Linked DNA regions of Nothobranchius furzeri. The main gene of each other region encodes a partner of the protein of the gene in region 2 in a complex. Links are inferred from orthologs where the notes say so. Each region holds a gene or a part of one and is shown on either strand. Other genes may lie near its edges.

Region 1 (6,203 bases), on a different chromosome or scaffold from region 2:
GATTCTGTCCAAATACAAAAGAGGCATGCTGGTCAAATCGAATCTGAAGAAACGGATTTATTTTCATGCTGCAGATCAGGACCAGTTCTTAGGACCAGACAGATAAAACAGTATCATTAAAGGATTAGAGAAACACTCATCTTCTTTTCTCTAATTTAATAGCAGGATAATGTGACAAGCAGACCAAAAAAAGCAAGCTATTTGTATCCTTACTGTCACAGACGTAAGGTTTATCCTGGTCATCAGTATTAACAGGTTCTGTCCTTCTGCGAGTTGATCCTCTGTTCTGGAGGGAAACGATAAACATCGATCAGGTGTGGAATCCTGCACGTGTTCCAGCGTTAAAACAAAAATCCAACACGCATGCATTTTTTAATTCAAATCAATTCAATTCAAAAATACTTTATTAATCCCAGGGGGAAATTGATTGCTGAGAATAATAATAATAATCTAGTCATCAAAGAGTTGTTGTATATTACAATGGCTGTTGGCAGGAAGGATCTCCAGTAGCGGTCGGTGTTGCAGCCAAACTGAAGAAGCCTCTGACTGAAGACACTCTTCCGTTGTCGGACAGTCTTGTGAAGAGAATGCTCAGGGTTGTCCATCATTTTCTTGATTCTCTGGAGAATCCTTCTTTGCATTATCTCCTCCAGTGGTTCCACAGTCATCTCCAGAACAGAACCAGCCTTTTTTATTAGGCTGTTGAGCCTTTTCAGGTCCCTGCTTCTGATGCTGACCAGCACCTGATTTATCATTGTCCATTATGATCGAAGGAAGAGATGGTTTGAAATTCCTCTTTCTCTGTTTCCGTTTTGCTCCCGCTCTGCATACACGCTTCTTGCATTTTAGCTCATTTGGGACTTGAGGCTTCAGTTGAGGTATTATTTCAGCCTTTCCAATGTTAATCAGCTGCTCCCGATTGTAAACCAGCTTGTAACCATGGTTACGCATCATAACAAACGCTCAAAAAGTGAAAAAAGTGAAAAAATTGCAGTAAAAATCCTCTAAGCTTCACAGCACCAGAAACAGAAAAGTAAAATGTCCCAAAAAAAGGCAAAACTTACATATAGTCAACAGAGCTACTCCAACATGGAGCCACCCAGAGCAGCGCAGTTCCGGAAACTAACCAACTAACCAAGATAATTAAGATATTAGACTCATTTTATCTATTTTCGCAAAAAATGAAATAAAATAATGGTGCAAAGATGAGTTTTTCTCATGTTACACCCAAAACATGTTCCCTGTTGGCGTCCATACTACCCTTCACACCACAAACCTCAGAGAGGAGTTGGTGTCTCACGTCTTGTTCACTTACTTTTCCTCTATTCTTGTTCTTTCTCTTTGGAGTATCAAGTTCAAACTCATCCTCATCGTGGAAACTGTCCCCGTTTTCCTCCGCCTCCAGCACTCTCTGCATGATTAGACCAAAATAACTCACTGCATGAAAAAAAATCAGGCAAAGCAGAACACAGAGGTATGCTTCGCTCCATGGTGCAAAGGTACTTTTCTACAAGTTTTAATGCTGCAATCACATTTCGTTAGTAATAGATAACCTGACATTATTTAAACCTGTTTTAGAATTATACAAAAAATGCACAAAAACCTGTATTTCCAGCAGAGTTTCCTCTTCTTTAGCGATGTTGTTTTTTTTCTCCAGCAGGTTGTCACTCCTCAGAAGGGCCTCCAGGGCCGTGGCCTCCCCTGGTGGCCCCTCACGCTTAGGGGCCAGCTCTGCTTCTGTAGAGGCACGGTAAGGATAGAAATAGTTATAAAAATAAAAATATAACACACACACACACACACACACACACACACACACACATATATATATATATATATATATATATATATATATATATATATATATATAAAGAGAGAGAGAGAGAGAGAGAGAGAGAGAGAGAGAGAGAGAGAGAGAGAGTCATGTGTTTAAAGATGGCAGCCAATGGATTTTTTTGTTTCACTGCTTGTCGTTCCAAGCTTTTATTGGAAGGAAAAACTGAAAATGCATTTATAACATGGACATTTTCTCTTTAACGCGCCACACAGCAATGTGTTGCTATTGGCCATTTAATATGCTGCAACAATGAAATGCTTATTCATATTTACCACAAGCCCTGAAGTTTTTGTTGCATAAAGTCGCATTTAAAAAAACACCATGTATATTGAAGTTGTGATAAATTATGTTTTGATTCAAAATGATCAAAAGTTAACGTATGCCAGGAGATGGACAAGTTGTTAATGCCAATATACTCCTTCCCTTCTAATTACACTGATCTAATATATATTTCCAGTTGATTGAGAGTCCATAAATGACTTAAAAGGTAGGTTTCTACATCAGTCTGGACCCACAGAAGAATGGTTGTTTCTGGATCTTTATTCTCATTCTTCTTATTATTAAAATCTTTCATTTATTGTGTCATCTTATATATCAGAGCTTCCTGCTGTAAAAACTGTCAACAGTCCTTGATCTTGTCTGTTACAAACAAAAATTTCTCCAAGTTTAACAAAGATTTAACATGACTGTGTGTGTGCTTGAGGGCTATAAATGGGGAAGAGGGGTACATAAATGTGATCGCGTCTTCCGTTTATCCACCTCCACCAGCTCCTCCGGTAGGACCCCAAGGCGTTCCCGGGGCAAGGTCGGAGATGTACTTTCTCCAACGTGTCCTGGGTCGGCCAGGGGGCCTCCTGCTGGCCCTAGGGAGGCGTCCAGGAGGCATCGTAACAAGATGCCCAAACCACCTCAACTGACTCCTCTCGATATGGAGGAGCAGTGGCTCTACTTAAAGTCTCTCCCGAATGACAGAGCTCTTCACCCTATCCCTAAGGCTGAGCCCATCCACACCACGGAGAAAACTCATTTCGGCTGCTTGTATCCGCGATCTCGTTCTTTCTGTCATTAATCAAAGCTCATGACCATAGGTGAGGGTAGGAACGTAGATCGACCGGTAAATCGAGAGCCTGGCTTTCTGGCTCAGCTCCTACTTCACCACAATAGATGTGATCATAATTAAAATTTCTGGGTGGGGAAGAGAGGTTTTATGTTGGGTCAATGATTGATTGATTGATTGATTGATTGTTGGTTGGTTAGTTAGTTGGTTGATTTGTTAGTTGATTTGTTGATTGGTTGTTGGTTGGTTGGTTAGTTGGTTGATTTGTTGATTGGTTGGTTGATTTGTTGATTGGTTGGTTGGTTGGTTGATTGATTTATTGATTGATTGATTGGTTGATTGATTGATTGTTGGTTGGTTAGTTGGTTGATTGATTGATTGATTGGTTGGTTAGTTGGTTGATTTGTTGATTTATTGATTGTTGGTTGGTTAGTTGGTTGATTTGTTGATTGATTGATTGATGATTGATTGATTGATTGATTGATTGATTGATTGACTGACCGATTTTTTATTTTTTTCTCTGAAGTCAGTTTCATCGCCAATATCTTAAAATGATGCTAATTTTGCCCACAAAAGCTGTGAGACTGATTTGTTTTTATTATTCACCAAAAATATTGCAGATTGTTGTTGCACTTGTTCCAAGATTTTTTTTAATGCCACCAAATATAAAATAATTCATTTTAAAACAACAACATCTGGCTATTTCTACAGTAAATGTATTGTATTTATGCCAATTTTGTTTAAATCCTCATTGTATACCCTAACAGTGATGGCCATTTCAAGCTTTAGTTCGAGTTTTACATCACTTAGGTTTATTTTAAGAAAAGCTGCTGACACTAAAAGCTCAGAGCAAAGCATAAAGAAAACCACTGTTTCATGACAGCTCCTCTGTGCATCTGTGCACACAGACAAACCTCTGCACAGGATGCATTAAATAAACATCAACCATCGAACAAAACAAAGGAGAGTATTCACATCCCCATGGTGTTATTGTAGATATTTGGGTCAACCTGCAAAACGAAACAACAAAACAGAAAAAGCTCCATCTCCTCGCTTTAAGCTGTAGAGATTTTCTGTCATGCACTTAGGTTGCAGCTCTCTTTCCTCAACTTAAAAAGGAATCATTCTTTGCAGAAAGCTCTGGAGTATTATATTGCGTCTGGAAGAGAGCGAGGGGTGAAACAATGGATGAGGAAAGCAGAAACAAAGCTATGCCTTTATCCACCATCTTATCAGGTTCCTGAGCATTCCTTTGCTTAAACCCTCTAACAAAAACTGTAAGCATGCACGGATGCACATCATAAAGCAATGCTGCCACTTCATACGACTCACATGTCATTGTCTTGTGAATAAATTACTATTGAGGCCTACTAAGGGTGCTTCTGAGCTGCAGCGGGGAGAAAGAGTCACATGTGGGGGGTGTTAGTATAAAGTGTGTGCATGCAGCCACAGAACAGCAAGAGGGGGGATTGATTCAGGGGAGCGAATGAACCTGGAGACCTGGTGTGAGAGATGGGATAACCAGAGCCAGATGGCCCAATCCTGAGAGAAATGATGAACATTTCTATTAAATTGACATTAGTTTGCAAAGGTGAAACAATGCATGAGTTAAAGTGGTTTTATTTGTGCAACGGTGTGTCAAAACCATCTTTTTGTGTGTGTGTGTGTGTGTGTGTGTGTGTGTGTGTGTGTGTGTGTGTGTGTGTGTGTGTGTGTGTGTGTGTGTGTGTGTGTGTGTGTGTGTGTGTGTGTGTGTGTGTGTGTGTGTGTTCGGTGCAGCAATGTGCCTGTATGTTGTTTGTCTTGTCTTACCTAGACGAAGCTCACACAGGCGGAGCTGGGGATCCAGGGGAGGGTGGAGTCGCCTCTTCTTTCTCCAGCAACGAGCAGGGTACGTATACATCTGTCCTGCAGCCTGGCCTGAAAAAACACACGTATGCAACAGGATTATAAGATTTCACACACACACACACACACACACACACACGAGCGCGAGGAGAGACATGGGCACACTGGAAGAATTTCAAAACCTACTGGCAAGGGTAACAAACCCTCCATTGAGTTTTGTACACACACACACACACACACACACACAAACCCACGCATGCACGTACACTGGTCCACGGACAGGCCTTGTACTTAAAGACATTGCTACTATCTCACTTTTCCTGAACATCAGTATGGAGAAACAAAGTGTATATCCAAATTGACTGATGAACAATTGGCTAGCCAGAGCAAAGCAAAGATCAAACTGCTCAAAATTTCATAATAGTTGACTCAAAGATTTTTTAAGCAAAGTTTTTTTAATTTTCACACATTTAGCATTTTTGCATAACACCAAAATCTACATGGAATTAATGCAGGGGTATCAGATGTACTCAGGCTCTCAGATCAGCTGAGGGAGCTGCCGTTTACGTCACAATACGTGATTGGCTGGACGTTAGCCTGTTTGGTTGGTCCTGACAAATTGCAGGACTTATGTTAGCATATAATGTGTGATATTTGGTCTCCTAAATAATCCAAGACTGTTTAAAATAAATAAATAAATAATTCTCAGCCTTCAAATTAATTTCCTTAGATGGGAATAATAGGTTTGGGGGCATTCCTGTTAAACATGGTGCTATTTTATTTCAGATAAATTACTTGTTTGGTTAAAGAAACAAAGATTTAATTTTAGTTTTTTTTTTCTTTTTTGGCATTGTTGTTTGTAAGTAAAAAATATTTCATCAAACACGTTAAAATCGTAGAATGCTCTGGCAAAGCATAATTATCTCCCTGCTCATAAATAATGAACTACCTACGCATTTAACCATAATCTAGGAGACAGAAGCAAAGGAGAAGAGCTTTTATGTCCACATGAGTAGAGCATCAAATAAAAATCTCAGGAGAAGTTGGGGGAGGAATAAGCCCAGAATAAATGCATATCATGTGTGTTAGGTCTGCCACAAAGTATAGGGTGTGGCCTGAAGGACTTTGCATGGAGATGGAGAGCGGGCTATTTCTGTTCAGGTCTCAGAAAAAAGCATGATTGTTCCCTTTGGCTTCTCAGATGAACCGCACGTGCGTAAAAAGTCTCGACTGCTCGATAAATCAAAGAAAAACCATTTCTGAGACATCAGAGTCTGATCTTATTGAAGAAATGGATGCATATTTACAAGTGTTAAAGTCATCCCTCATTTCTTTAGATTTTGTTTCAGATGAACCCGAACAAGCTTTTGAACTGGTGATCAACACTTCTTTAGGGACTTTTTGTACCTTTTAGGGCATTCCCTGGCCGGCCGTGAGACATAGTCCCTTCGGCGTGTCCTG
Region 2 (6,203 bases):
TCTTTGTTATGGCGTCGACATCATCCTAGCGAGCAACGCTCTGCGACTCTTAAAAAAAAAACAGTAAAAACGGTGAGAAACGCTGGCAGCGAAGGCCGTTAGCGGAAACGGCTGGCAGCAAATGAGTTTGTGACATGCAGGTTTGTAAACCTGAAAGTAGAGGTCTAATATAAAATGCATGTAAAAGTTGATAGTTTTTAATACTCAGGATTAGAAATGGTAATGTGATTTTTATCCAGCATCGTGCAGCCCTGATCTGCATGTTCATTAGTTTCTCCAGAATTAGATTGTGATATAAACAGCGAAAGACATAGTGCTTAATTTGGTATATTTTAGCCAAAATACTGGAACAGGTGATTCCTTATTTGACATTGAATCACTTTATAGAAGGAACCCACCCCCCTCCCAAAAAAACCCACTTCAACATGGCCACACAGTAGAAGTGAGGGCCCACTAACGTATCCTCCTCTGAGGCTAGACATATCAGTATTTACAGTTTTTAAGATGAATAATGAGCTGTGAAATTTGAAGGTCTGTGGTGTAGCTACTGCAGCTACAAACAGAACAAACATCTGATGCTAAAACCAAACTTTGACGAGTTTGTATAAACAGCTGCTGATTAAAAATTCTTCACCAAACAAGCACAAAGTTGTGTCTCAAAATTATTATATAAAGTCGTGTTTTAATATTCAAAGGAAGACTTCTGCTTTATCCTTTTATTAAGTACATACTGTTCTTAGACATGCAGCCATCCTCCAAACTGGCACCGGCAGACGAGTCGTCCAAGTCCTTCGTGATGTCCTCCTCTGTGTCCTCCTCCTCTCCTCTGTGACCCCGTCTCTTCCAGTGTGGCCCAGAGTTCCTGAGGGGATTTAGTTTTATGGTTAGTCAAACAGGAAAGGGTTAAATCCCTCCTGGTATGGATGAACATGCCGACAGCGCAGCATTTCATCAGAAACATCATTTAATAAGCTGCCAGTGACGGATGTAGGAGGAGAAATGAAACAGAACCAGAACTCAGCAGGTCAGACTGTTGAAAACATTGGAATCAAACTGAGAAATCTGCAGCTCTAATAATTAATAATTCACGAGAAGCTTGTGATCTGGAATATCTGTGTCACCTCAATGGCTGTTATAATGCATGGCAGTTTTATTTATACAGCATATTTTACACAGAGACAATTCAAGGTGCCTCGCTGCCTCTGCAGAACCCCGTAACAGTTTCTTTTAGGGCTGCTCGATTATGGCAAAAATGATAATCACGATTATTGTAACTGAAATTGTGATCTCGATTATTTAAGATGATTTTTCAATTATTGTTAATTTTATTAGTTTGTTTCTTTATTCAGTCATAAAATTGCTCGGGGCACAATCAGGACAAAAGTAAATACGAAAAAGAAATTAACAAGATGATCACTAAAACAACTCCTGAGTCCTAGTATGTAAAGGCCAATATAGTTGCTCATTATTTATGACCCAAAGGGCTGAGGTTTAACTCATTTAAGCCTGACCAGTACAGACCCACATATCCATCCAGCTTCTTGCAAATACTGGCAGCAGGAATCATACCGTGGCATTTTTAACAAATAAAAAACAGATAAACATATGTGTTTTAGTTACGTTCACAAAATTTTGCATAATATTTATTTAGTCCCGTCAAGCGGTGCTGTAGGGGAGTGTACACTAGCAACGTGTCCTCATAGACATCATTTATCAGCAAGGAACTTATTTCTATCTATTTCTACCTTGTTTATAAACTATTTATTTACAGGTCGCATCAGTTAATGTAATAACTGTCCCAGCCACAGCGATCGGAGGTGTGCTGCAACCCCCCACCCGGCCTCACAGCAGGCAGGGGCAAGCTGCGTGAGTTTAGCGCGCCACACATGCACATTTTGCCGTTTTTAGCGGCTCAGGAGCCTGCAGGTACAGTGTGTGTGTCACTCACTCTGGTTAATTCAAGAGGGAGCCGCCTCTGAGAGCCGTTTCTTTTGCGACCAACATCACAACATCATTCCCTTTCCTAATGTCCTGAAGGACCGGTCCGGAGCGCAGGCAGAGTGTTTTGCTAACGTGCAGGAAATGCCAACGACGGTAGTAGCCAAGGGTTATCAGAAATGTTTCTGGGTTTATCACTAGGCACTTTTAAGATTCAAAAAGTCAAGATGGGGGTCTGAAAAGCTGTTGGAAATTGCAACAAAGTCGCCAAGTTGGCAACACTGTGGGAGGAGCGCTTGATTTGCAACTTGGAGCAGCACAAGAGGGAGGAGCAAATAACAGGGTATCTGCAGGTTTAAGGGAGCCAAATTTAAGACTTTAAGACCATTTTTAAGGCCACCTTGACAAAAATTTAAGCTATTTTTAAAAATTAAAACTAATTTCCAGCCATTGCCTGGAACCGGTGCTAACCACGTCGCGAACGTGGGATTAGCCATCCAGTTACCATTAAACTTGCACTTCCCCATGGCGCAAGCTCCCACTAGCTTAACCAGCTAATGTGCTCATCTAAAAATAGCCCCCTTTCACAACCAACTGAATGTGTACGGCTCCGCTTACGCCAACATCATACACAAAAAATGCTGAACACTAACTAGAAATTCATGAAAATTTTATAGAAATAAAATTGGGTATTTGGTAATTTAAGACCTTTGGAAACTGTACTTAAGGATTATTTGTAATTTTTAAGGACTTTTAGGGCCTCAAATTTGGAAAAGCAAATTTAAGACTTTTTAAAGACCCGTGGATACCCCGAAATAATCAGCTTGTTTTGTTTTTAATAATCGCTCAAAACTCAAATCGTAATTGGGATTAAAATTCGAATAATTGAGCAGCCCTAGTTTCTTTCCTTAAAATGTAGAAAAACAAGCATACCGAGTAACACATGATTTAAAAACAAATGTATATTGACCCTTAAGTAACAACGGTACAGATCTTTGATAAATTTTTTAAAAGCTAAGATATCAAATTGGCCTTCTTACCCTTTCTTCCCTCCCTTCTTGCGGGATTCGGCGGGAGTGCTGGGCGGCGAGGGCGAGCGTCTCCTCTTCTTGCCAGCAGAGTTTGCCTTGCGCTCCTTGCGATCAGGTGTACGGGAAGACTGATCAGACAAACCCCGAGCAGCACAGGGAGCGAGGGATGGAGGATGAGAGAAAGAGCCACAGAATGAGAGGATGGAACGGCTGCACACACAAGGAGGGGAAGCAGCGGGATAACAACAGCAGGTAGGGGAGAGGATGTTTTGTTGGGTGGAAGACACAATCAGGGTTCCTGTACACTAACGCACTAGAAAACACTAGTTCAATGTGGTGTAATGTGTTACTTTGTCATAAACAGGTTTCTGTGAAATCACTGATGGTGACCTGGCTTTGTATCTACTGGAATTGTAAGTTATAATATTTTTTGTCCAACAGAGTGAATCTTTTTATTTTGTGGCTCATTTGGAATCAGTTAGCTCGTGCTTGCATTAGCTCGCTGTTAGCAATAGCTACAGCAGGCCTTGTCCTGTCCAGGGGTGTCCAGTGCGTAGGGTGCCCCTTTTGCCCTTGCTTCGCACTTTTGCATTACCCACAATCCATTGCTGCACGGGAATTTTCAAAAGAAGGCGGATCAATGGCTCAAGTCTCTTTTCTGAAAATATGTATTTTCAAGAAAGAAGTTAATTTCCGGGCGAATAACTATATTTATTCATGCTCTAAATGTTTTAGACTAAAATTTAATGTGGACAGCAATGAATGTAAATTTTGTCAAATAATTGTTAGAAAGTTAATTAAGATTATTATTTTTTTAAATAGCATAAGAAGCAACCAGCATGTGTCACTGTAGATGACACAATGCTCCATGTCCCAATTTGGCACACTTGTGTACTACACACTCGAGCCCCTACTGTGCACTTCCTCAACGTGTACTTTACAGAAAATCGTAGGCCACAGTCTAACCCCGGGTTTCCACGGGAGCCGTCAGCAGCACATTACTGCAGCAGCACGTCTTGCTCGCGTAACCTGCTGCTTGGCCCTTCCCACGAGGCGCGAAGCAGCAGGGGAGCAGCTGTCACCGACCGAGCACGAAGTCACACGAGTGACTTCGTCAGTAAACACAACAACAAGCAGGAGAAAACTACAACATGGTTTGCGTTTTATGTTCTGTCCGTTTTATAATCACCAATACGGACCTGAAAAACAAAGGAGACCGCTAGCTAGGTGATAACTTCTCACGGGGCCGCACAGTTAGTAACCTTTTTTAAAAGTAAAGCAAACGGAAGGCAGTACGTTCTTTATTCTGAAAATCTCGGGAGCTTCTCTCCATTTCCGCGTCCGATTTCCTGTCTTTCCTTCCCCAAAAATTTCGAACTTGACCCGTTTCAGAGGCGTCGCGCGTAGAAAATAGAACCGGCGCGTAAAGGCCGCGACATGCTGCTCCTGAGACGCGGCCGACTCGCGCTGCTGACGGCTCCGGTGGAAAAGGTTCTGTTGACCACAGCGGTTCCTATCAGCAGCTATGACGTGCTGCTGACGGCTCCTGTGGAAAGCCGGGGTAAGTATTGGTGTTGAACCGTAGTTGTTAACGACAGTTGTAACTCCACTTTAAACCAGTAGGAGGGAGAAGTGGGAAACTTCTTTAGTGTTGCTTTAATAAACACTCCCTCTTAACACAGACAGGAACCCTGAAAAGTATTTAAAGGACACAAAATGTGAGGAAAGGTTTGAAAAGGATGAGTAAGAAACGGAACCGGACGTGGACGAAGGAAGACGACAGAGAACAACCTACAAGGCAAAGCTAAACGCAACAAAACACAAGCTTGCAACAGAATATAACATCACTCAAAAACAATTACATGTGATATAATCAGGACGTTGTTCCTGACCTCTGTGACTCTGAGGTACATTTATTAAAATCTGCATCAAACAGCTACCTCCTCCTCTTTAGGGAAAATCTTCTGTCGGAAGCTGACTGGCTTCTTGTTCTCGTCCACCTCGTAGTCCTCTTCATTCATCCACTCATTGAAGGCATCGGTGTCTGAAACCCATTTGGCATGAACCTGACATAAAAGTATATGGAGAGAAAGGGTGGTGGTTAAAAAAACAATAACTCAGTGTTTACTGCTGTGAAGCATCACAGGAGAAAAGCTTCACGGACACCAAAAATGATTAAATCAATTTACAATACAAATAGGATGCAGTCATTAAATTATTGAAAATAATTAATTCTAAAAAGTTATGTTTTCCACACATCAGAAGGGTTAATACCAATATCTAGATTTACATGTTTTTTCCAGAAAAAAAAGTTTTCTGAGCAGCCAGGCTAGTTTTACGCTTGTGTGTCTATTTATGAAATCTTCAGTGCTAAACAGATCATTTTGGTAGAGGGTGCTCCACCTTCCAGGGTCGGTCAGCACTGGGAGGGTCTTCAACGTCTCCGTCCACCTCACCAGCTGCCACCCAGGTGTCGTAGCTGGTAAAATACATAACAGACACAGGATCAGTAAGGTGGTTAATCTGGGTGATTTCAAAACAAAAAACTTGGCAAAAATGTCTCTGACATTAGATTTAGTGTTTTTTAAATTACTAATAAAAATAGAAACTGAATAACTTTAGAGAAATACTCCTGCAGAGTAAAAACATATCCACAATAAAGAAAAGCATGTCCGAGTCTCTCTGTGATCCTTTCTGATTACCTGTCAGGGGAAAAGCCCCAGTGAACAAGCACCTGCTTGTCTTTCCTCATCACAGGACGTAGCCACTCTTCTGAAAAACACAACCCCCAGCACAACTTCAGCAATTAGCGAAGATTTTATCCGTGCTGTGACAAAAAATTCCCATTTTCAAGAAGATCAGCTAAATAAAGCCTCCATAAACGGAGCTAAATGATCTTTATTCTGATCTAGATGTGTTTGATGGGATAGAGATCACACTATAAATGAGTCAGATCAGCAAGGAACAATAACACCCAAGTTCAAACATACATCATAAAATGTATGCACAAAGTCACAAAAGTTATAAACCAACCTTCTTCCTGCTGCTGAAGAGAAGGATAAATGTGGTGGGTGGCCTTTGACTTATCCTCGGTGGTGGAGCCCTGAAGAGAAACAAAGTTAGATAATTGAAAAGACAAAGACGTTCATGCTAGTCATAATAAAAATACATAAAAAAATAAACTGTTTTTATTTCCTGGTTTGAAGTGAACTCACCTGGTGCCTTTTGACGATG
Region 3 (6,203 bases), on a different chromosome or scaffold from region 2:
TGTTCAGTACTGCCTTTTTACAATGCTTTGATCACCTCAGAGAAACATTATTTGATTCTGCACTGACTAAGTGGTGATAATAAACGCATCTTGAGTCTAATTATGATCGTATTTTTATAAGAAGACTTGAACACAGACTAAATAAAACCACTGGAGGAGGTCGTTTGAGCGTGGAGCGCCCGCGCTGACAGGGAGCGCTGTGTTTGGTGAAAGGTTAAATATCTGCAAAGCAGCCATGCACGGAAAGCAAACCCTCAGGAGAGCAGAGGTTTAACCACCTGGCTAAATAACCGGAGTCAGAGTGCAAAATTAGACTGCATATTTTAAATATTATTGGCTTACATTAGCTAGCAAGGTGTTAAATAACTAAAACACCTATTATTTAAATCTTCAGAAACATTGACGTGTGGATTTTCCGTCCCTTCCGTGTCAGCTGACACGCTCCCCAACAGATCAAACCCTGAATGCGTCTCAGGGTGGAAAGCTGAATTCTTTTGATTGAAAACGGTTCAAAGCGAAGCACCTGAGCGCTGGGTTAAAAAGATGAAACCCTGAGAGGACGCGATTTCCACTCCGAATCTCCTGAAGTGGATTTCATAAAACACGTCGGAACATTTTTATGTAAGGTGAAGAGCAGCAGCTGGTTGTTTAAAATAAAGCAGCCGGTTTCTTCATTAGCATGTTTGAACAGCCTCGTGTTTCTGTTTAATTTCATGTTCAGCCAAAGCGGGATCGGTGTTCCTGAAGATTTAGCCAGACGAGACAAAATGTTGGGACGTCGACCTTGACTGAACGGCTTTAGTGATTTGTGCAGCAGAGAAAAGCTCTTTACTAGCAACGGAACAAACTGTTCAGGAAGAATGTCAAAATCAGGCGAAAAGTAGCATCAGTTTTTGAAAACATGGAGAATTTGGCTAAATTTTTCCAAAAAAGCTTTGTTTACACATAAAAAGTTATCTTATTCTGATTTATTCTACATTTTAAGGTGGCTAGCTACCAAAAATAGCATTTTTACCTTAAAACAGTCAAGAGAGCCCAGACAGACACCCAGCTGTCATTTGTTTCACATTTACTTTAAGTGAAGTGGAAAGCTAATAAGCTGCGGTTTTAGGAGGGTGTTATAAGCTGAACTATTTCTTGACTTCCTTTAGACTCCCCGTCAGACTGACCACCTTCTGACGCTGCTTTCATATTTCACTTTGAGGGGTAAAAACAGAGGTGTTGTGAAAAGTTTAGTGTCCGTTAGATCTGACGTCGTTGAAATGGAGGTAAAATGTTAATAAGAAGCTCTCAGATTTATTTTGAGTCACCTTTTAACCCAGCGGGGTTAAAGATTCATCCAAAAGATGCTGCTTGAAGGTGAGTTTGTGTGTTTTATTTATTTAGTTATTTTTGAGGCGGTGGGTGGCAGGCAGTAGTGTTGGGGTGTTTGTGCAGACCTCCACCAGGTGGTTGTCTGGCCCATACAGATCTTTGTCCAACTCGATCACCAAGCTCTTAAAAAACGAGGAGAACTTCTTCTTCTGCTTCCCGGGCTGTTGGGACAGACGAGAGGTGGTGGGTTAGGATCGGCTGTGTGCACGTGTGGGTGGACTCACAAATATAGATGAATAGATGCACTTTGTTTTTAGCTTCATAAGGTGTAAGAAACCACGAGCAGCTGAGTGAGATCACATTAAAACAGTGAGCAGACGTATAAAGAACCCACTTCCTCTGGACCTAACCTGAAAAATTTTTGGTTTCTGAAACTTTCGCGCACTTTGCTGCTGACATCATCAGCTCCTACGGCTCAGAACTAATTACTGTCATCTCTAAACACTCCTAAAACCAGTTCTTTAAAGCAGCAATTCAGAGTTTTCCCTCTTTCAGGAATTATATACCGTATGATCTTTTAGAAATTAGTAAAAATGATAGTTTTACATTGGAGCCAGCCCCCCCCGTTCCATAGAGCCCCATGCAATTTGAAGCGTTAGACATGCACCATCACCAAGTGGGCGCATGAGTTGGACGACGTACCTAGACTGGTGCAGAGAATAATAATTGTGTTTTACCTCTGTTGGCTAGCTAAAGGTGTGCTTTAACAAACGAGAGGTGTTGCTTCTAGCTGTGATCACGAGAATAGAGAGGGGCTTGTGGTGCAATACACTTTTCCTCCTCTAGACGGTGCCCTCTGAAATAAAACTCCAAAGTTAACTAAAAATGTCTGAGAATCAGGGTTCGAATCACGGGGGAGCTAGGGGGAGCTCGGCTCCCCTGAAAAGGTGATAGGCTCCCCCAGAAGCCCTCAACTGACACATCCCGAGGTAACCTCAAAAGTGATCTAGCCCCCCCCCCCGATGGCGCAATAATGAAGGTGATCGGACGGACAACAGCCCCCCCACCCAAGGAAACGGGGCTCCCCCAGAAGACTGTGTGTAATTCAAACCCTGCTGAGAATACATGAAAATCCTCACATCTTCCAGCAGCTTGCCCTCAACTCTCAGTTCCCATGATGCAATGCTGCCATCTGAGTCGTCCGCGTCGGGTCGAGCCGGGTTGAAGGTGTTAGAAATATAGAGCCTTAATTTACGCTTTTGCTGCTGACACAAATGGAACATTAAAGAAAACAGGTTAGTATGAAATCGCCCGAGGAGGTCCACTCCACCATCCCGATCAGATCTTTTTCTTCTGGTTTTACCTTCATCGGTCTCTTCAGCGCCTCCTGGATGTCCACGCGTTTACGCATGATTGTCTGGTCCAGTTTGCGCTCAAAGGCTAGCAAATCCATGTAGGCCTGAGATTCTGGTACCAGCTCACGGATCTGCGCAGGAAGGAAGACACTTTAGGAACATTTTAATCAGAACCTAACAGGAATGAAAAAGTCAGATTTTTTCGTTAAAAATAAAAATTGAGTGTGTTAGCTGATTCGTGTTAGCTTAAATATTCAACACATATTAGCTAACACATCTTAGTTACTACAGTAAAAATAGTTATTTTTATCAAACGATAAAAAGAGATAAAACCTTTGCAGTTTTTAGTAATGTCATAAACTTTACATCACACACCTTTAGTGCTTAGCTGCAAGTGTCAGTAATATTTGTAGACAATCAGTATCTTGCATCCAAATCAATAAACTATGTATGTATAATCAGTCTGATTTGACAGGCGTTTAATTAAAGTAGTCAAATTGAGTGCTTGAACTGTGTTAATAGGCTAGATTAGCAGCAATTAGCACTTAATCCCTAACATGTTGTAAGGTTAAGCATGTGTATGCAGCTAATTTAATGAGAGACTAGGCATGTGTATTGCTGGCATGATATACCACATATATCGCGATAGATTCAGCCAGATGTTATTAGGAATTTTTTTTTTAGATTGAAGGCTGTTGGCGGTTTAGCATCCAAGAAACAGCAGAGAACGCCTCGGCTGATAGAAGCTAACTGTTAGCATTAGCAACTCCACAACACAGCTGATCTCCTCCAGGCTTGTGTTATTTGTGGAGATAAAACATCCACATTGCAAAGCAAACAGTGGTAGAGTCATGTTGCTGTTAGCCAATCAGAGGCGAGATGTCCAAATATCAGGAAGTAAGACTCTAAATACCGCCGTGTTAAGCTGTCCACTGATGTGGCATTCTGGTGGTTCATGAAACAGGCGCATCTGTGCTTTTTTTCTCCACCGAGCAGGACTTACAGAGCATTCATTCCTGCTATAGATCACTGCAAATGTAATGATTAAATAAGTGTCCCACACATTTAAAGCACTTTAATGAGGTTGCATGGAAATAAAAAGCTTTAGTAGAAGCCGTCGTGTGTGTTTAACAGGCATGAGGGGATTAAAATGAGATTCAGTTTTTGCAGACAAACAGCCAGGACTCCAACATTACCATACAGATGAAAGTCCACCAAGCATGGCGGGCTGCTGCACACTGCTCCTACAGCTCCTCACCCTCCCTCCAGCTTCTTTCATCTTTCTTCCTGAGAGCCTGCCTTCATTGTTCCATTCATTCCTCCTCTATCTGCGTCTCTTTACCGGGCCGAGGTGCCGAGCCGGCGGAGAAGTGTGGAAGACATTCCCCATGCCTGACTCATTGTAGTGGAGTGCCACCCCATGCCATGACTTCTGCTATCTCTCTGTCAGGGTAACGTCAGAGGATAAGACCTGAACATAGACGCCCAGAGCTCAGCAGACTCACCCCTCTCTCTTACAGGATGCGGTTAAAAACCTGATGCTACAGGAAGAAAATCACAACCTGCAAACGCCACCAACTCACCTGCGACTTGTTTCTATCCCACTCATGTCTGCATCTCTTGACACACCCAAACAACCACTTCAATTTTAAACAACAAACACCCTGAAAACTCTTCTCCACTCCACCCATCCCTTCTTATTTTGGAAATAACAAATTATCATCCGGCCCCTGGCGCCGCCTCAGGACCCCGGGCATCGAAAAGGCGACCAGGATCTTTCTGCTTTGCAGACAAAAGGTAAAAGGATACAGAAACACAACAAAGATAAATACATGCAGCCTCACCCTTTGCGGAAGAATCTTGTCTGCCATTTTCCTTCTCTTAGCACTACAGACAAGGAGAGAAAGACAGAGAGAAAGAGGAAAAAGAGAGCATGTTACTATGGTGACTGATAGCGTAGCACCCAGGCCATCTGCTAAAATGCTGGGCCATATCCAGCACCCCAGCCTCCCAGCTGTGTGTGTGTGTGTGTGTGTGTGTGTGTGTGTGTTTCTCTGTCCGTGTGTTCTCTGAAATGCAGCGGTCCACCTGGAGAGAGTGAGCCTCTACAGCCAACAAAGTGTCAAGTCACACATCTTCTGCCACACACACACACACACACACACACACACACACACACACACACACACACACACACACACACACACACACACACACACACACACACACACACACACACACACACACACTATAGGGTCACTGATGCTGCAGGTAGACAGGATGTGTTTAATAAAGCTTTTCAGGAATTCAGTCTTCACTGTTGTTTTCATTTAAAAAGACGCAAGTTTTCACTCCATTCATGACTTCCAAGCACTTACTTTTTAAAATTCTTTCATACTCACCAGAGACGGACAATACGTGTTCTTTAATTTCTGAAATTTTATCAGAATCTTTTTTTTCCCGTTGGACATTGATTAGAAAACAAAAGGGTAGCCTCTTCTCGAATTAGAAAGTTTAATTTATTTGAATGTCTTTAACATGATGTTGAGTCTGTTCATGCTAAAAAAAAGACACTGATTGGAAACAATTGCGCTGCAGTGTGAGCAAATCAGAATACTGATCAGAAAACTGTTTTTTGAGTGTACTAAAAGTTCAATATGTGGGGCACTATTTAAGCGTTACAGAAACGACCTCAGACGGGACCATGTGACGTATTCCACTGTGTCACAAGCTACAAGCAGCATGTAAATAAAGTAGGGGTGGAACTTTAACGCGTTAATTATGATTAATTAGTTAGAAAAAAAAGACATGTAAAAAAATTCACGCATTTAATCACAGCTTGCAATTCAAGCAAGGCGGAATCTTTGTCATTGCAGGATTTCCTCGTAGACTGAATATCACTGACACACACAACACAGTGCTCTGTCTACGGCTGCTAAAAGGAATAAAAATGGAAAGAAATTGCCTTGGTTGGACTGATGCAGGATTTAGGAAACACATCAGCCTCTTCTCGTAACTTGTACAAAAAAATAATTACTTCCTGACAATTACGGCGTCTGCGTCGAGAACATTTTTCAGAGATGGTCTCTGCTGCTGCTGCCCGGTGGCACCGGAAGCTTTACAAAAATCGAGCTAGGCTATTTTTTTAACATTTATTTAACGTTTGTGCAGCGCTGAAAGCACCAGACAAGAATAGTAGTTTATGAAACTAGTCAGGCAAACAAGAGGCACCTGGCTGCAACTGGGAAAATGCTCCGTGTTCTCACTCCTCTGTAAACAATCACCAACAATGTGTCTTAAAGTGACAGAAACAACCTAAAATCTTTCTGATAATTTTCTAAACAATTCTGTCAGTTTATCATATGTTTCTGAGACAAGTGAGTGTCTAAATATCGCATGCATACCATCACAAAACGGTCTAAAGCTTATCGGGAGCTTAAGGGGCGGATGTTTAAGTGCATCAGGGCAGCGAGGAACGAGAAAGTTGTGATCAGGCTGGAGGTCACACCAGATTTGCTGCTGCAGGTATGAATC

What was found.
Region 1: smarcc1a (region 2) and dpf3 share a complex: the UniProt entries of both Homo sapiens proteins name them as parts of the BAF complex. The link is inferred for Nothobranchius furzeri from reciprocal best matches to the Homo sapiens genes SMARCC1 and DPF3.
Region 3: smarcc1a (region 2) and smarcd3b share a complex: the UniProt entries of both Homo sapiens proteins name them as parts of the BAF complex. The link is inferred for Nothobranchius furzeri from reciprocal best matches to the Homo sapiens genes SMARCC1 and SMARCD3.

What each region holds. Positions count from the first base shown.
Region 1 is NC_091742.1:25,623,506-25,629,708, reverse strand, and holds part of dpf3 (zinc finger protein DPF3), read right to left. Parts: intron 4,815-6,203; coding exon 4,707-4,814; intron 1,738-4,706; coding exon 1,604-1,737; intron 1,412-1,603; coding exon 1,316-1,411; intron 287-1,315; coding exon 214-286; intron 1-213. UniProt on the Homo sapiens protein: Belongs to the neuron-specific chromatin remodeling complex (nBAF complex).
Region 2 is NC_091745.1:65,009,836-65,016,038, reverse strand, and holds part of smarcc1a (SWI/SNF complex subunit SMARCC1), read right to left. Parts: coding exon 6,185-6,203; intron 6,073-6,184; coding exon 6,003-6,072; intron 5,742-6,002; coding exon 5,672-5,741; intron 5,449-5,671; coding exon 5,373-5,448; intron 5,036-5,372; coding exon 4,910-5,035; intron 3,098-4,909; coding exon 2,979-3,097; intron 863-2,978; coding exon 732-862; intron 1-731. UniProt on the Homo sapiens protein: Involved in transcriptional activation and repression of select genes by chromatin remodeling (alteration of DNA-nucleosome topology).
Region 3 is NC_091747.1:45,528,026-45,534,228, forward strand, and holds part of smarcd3b (SWI/SNF-related matrix-associated actin-dependent regulator of chromatin subfamily D member 3b), read right to left. Parts: intron 4,557-6,203; coding exon 4,514-4,556; intron 2,801-4,513; coding exon 2,678-2,800; intron 2,580-2,677; coding exon 2,454-2,579; intron 1,536-2,453; coding exon 1,440-1,535; intron 1-1,439. UniProt on the Homo sapiens protein: Involved in transcriptional activation and repression of select genes by chromatin remodeling (alteration of DNA-nucleosome topology).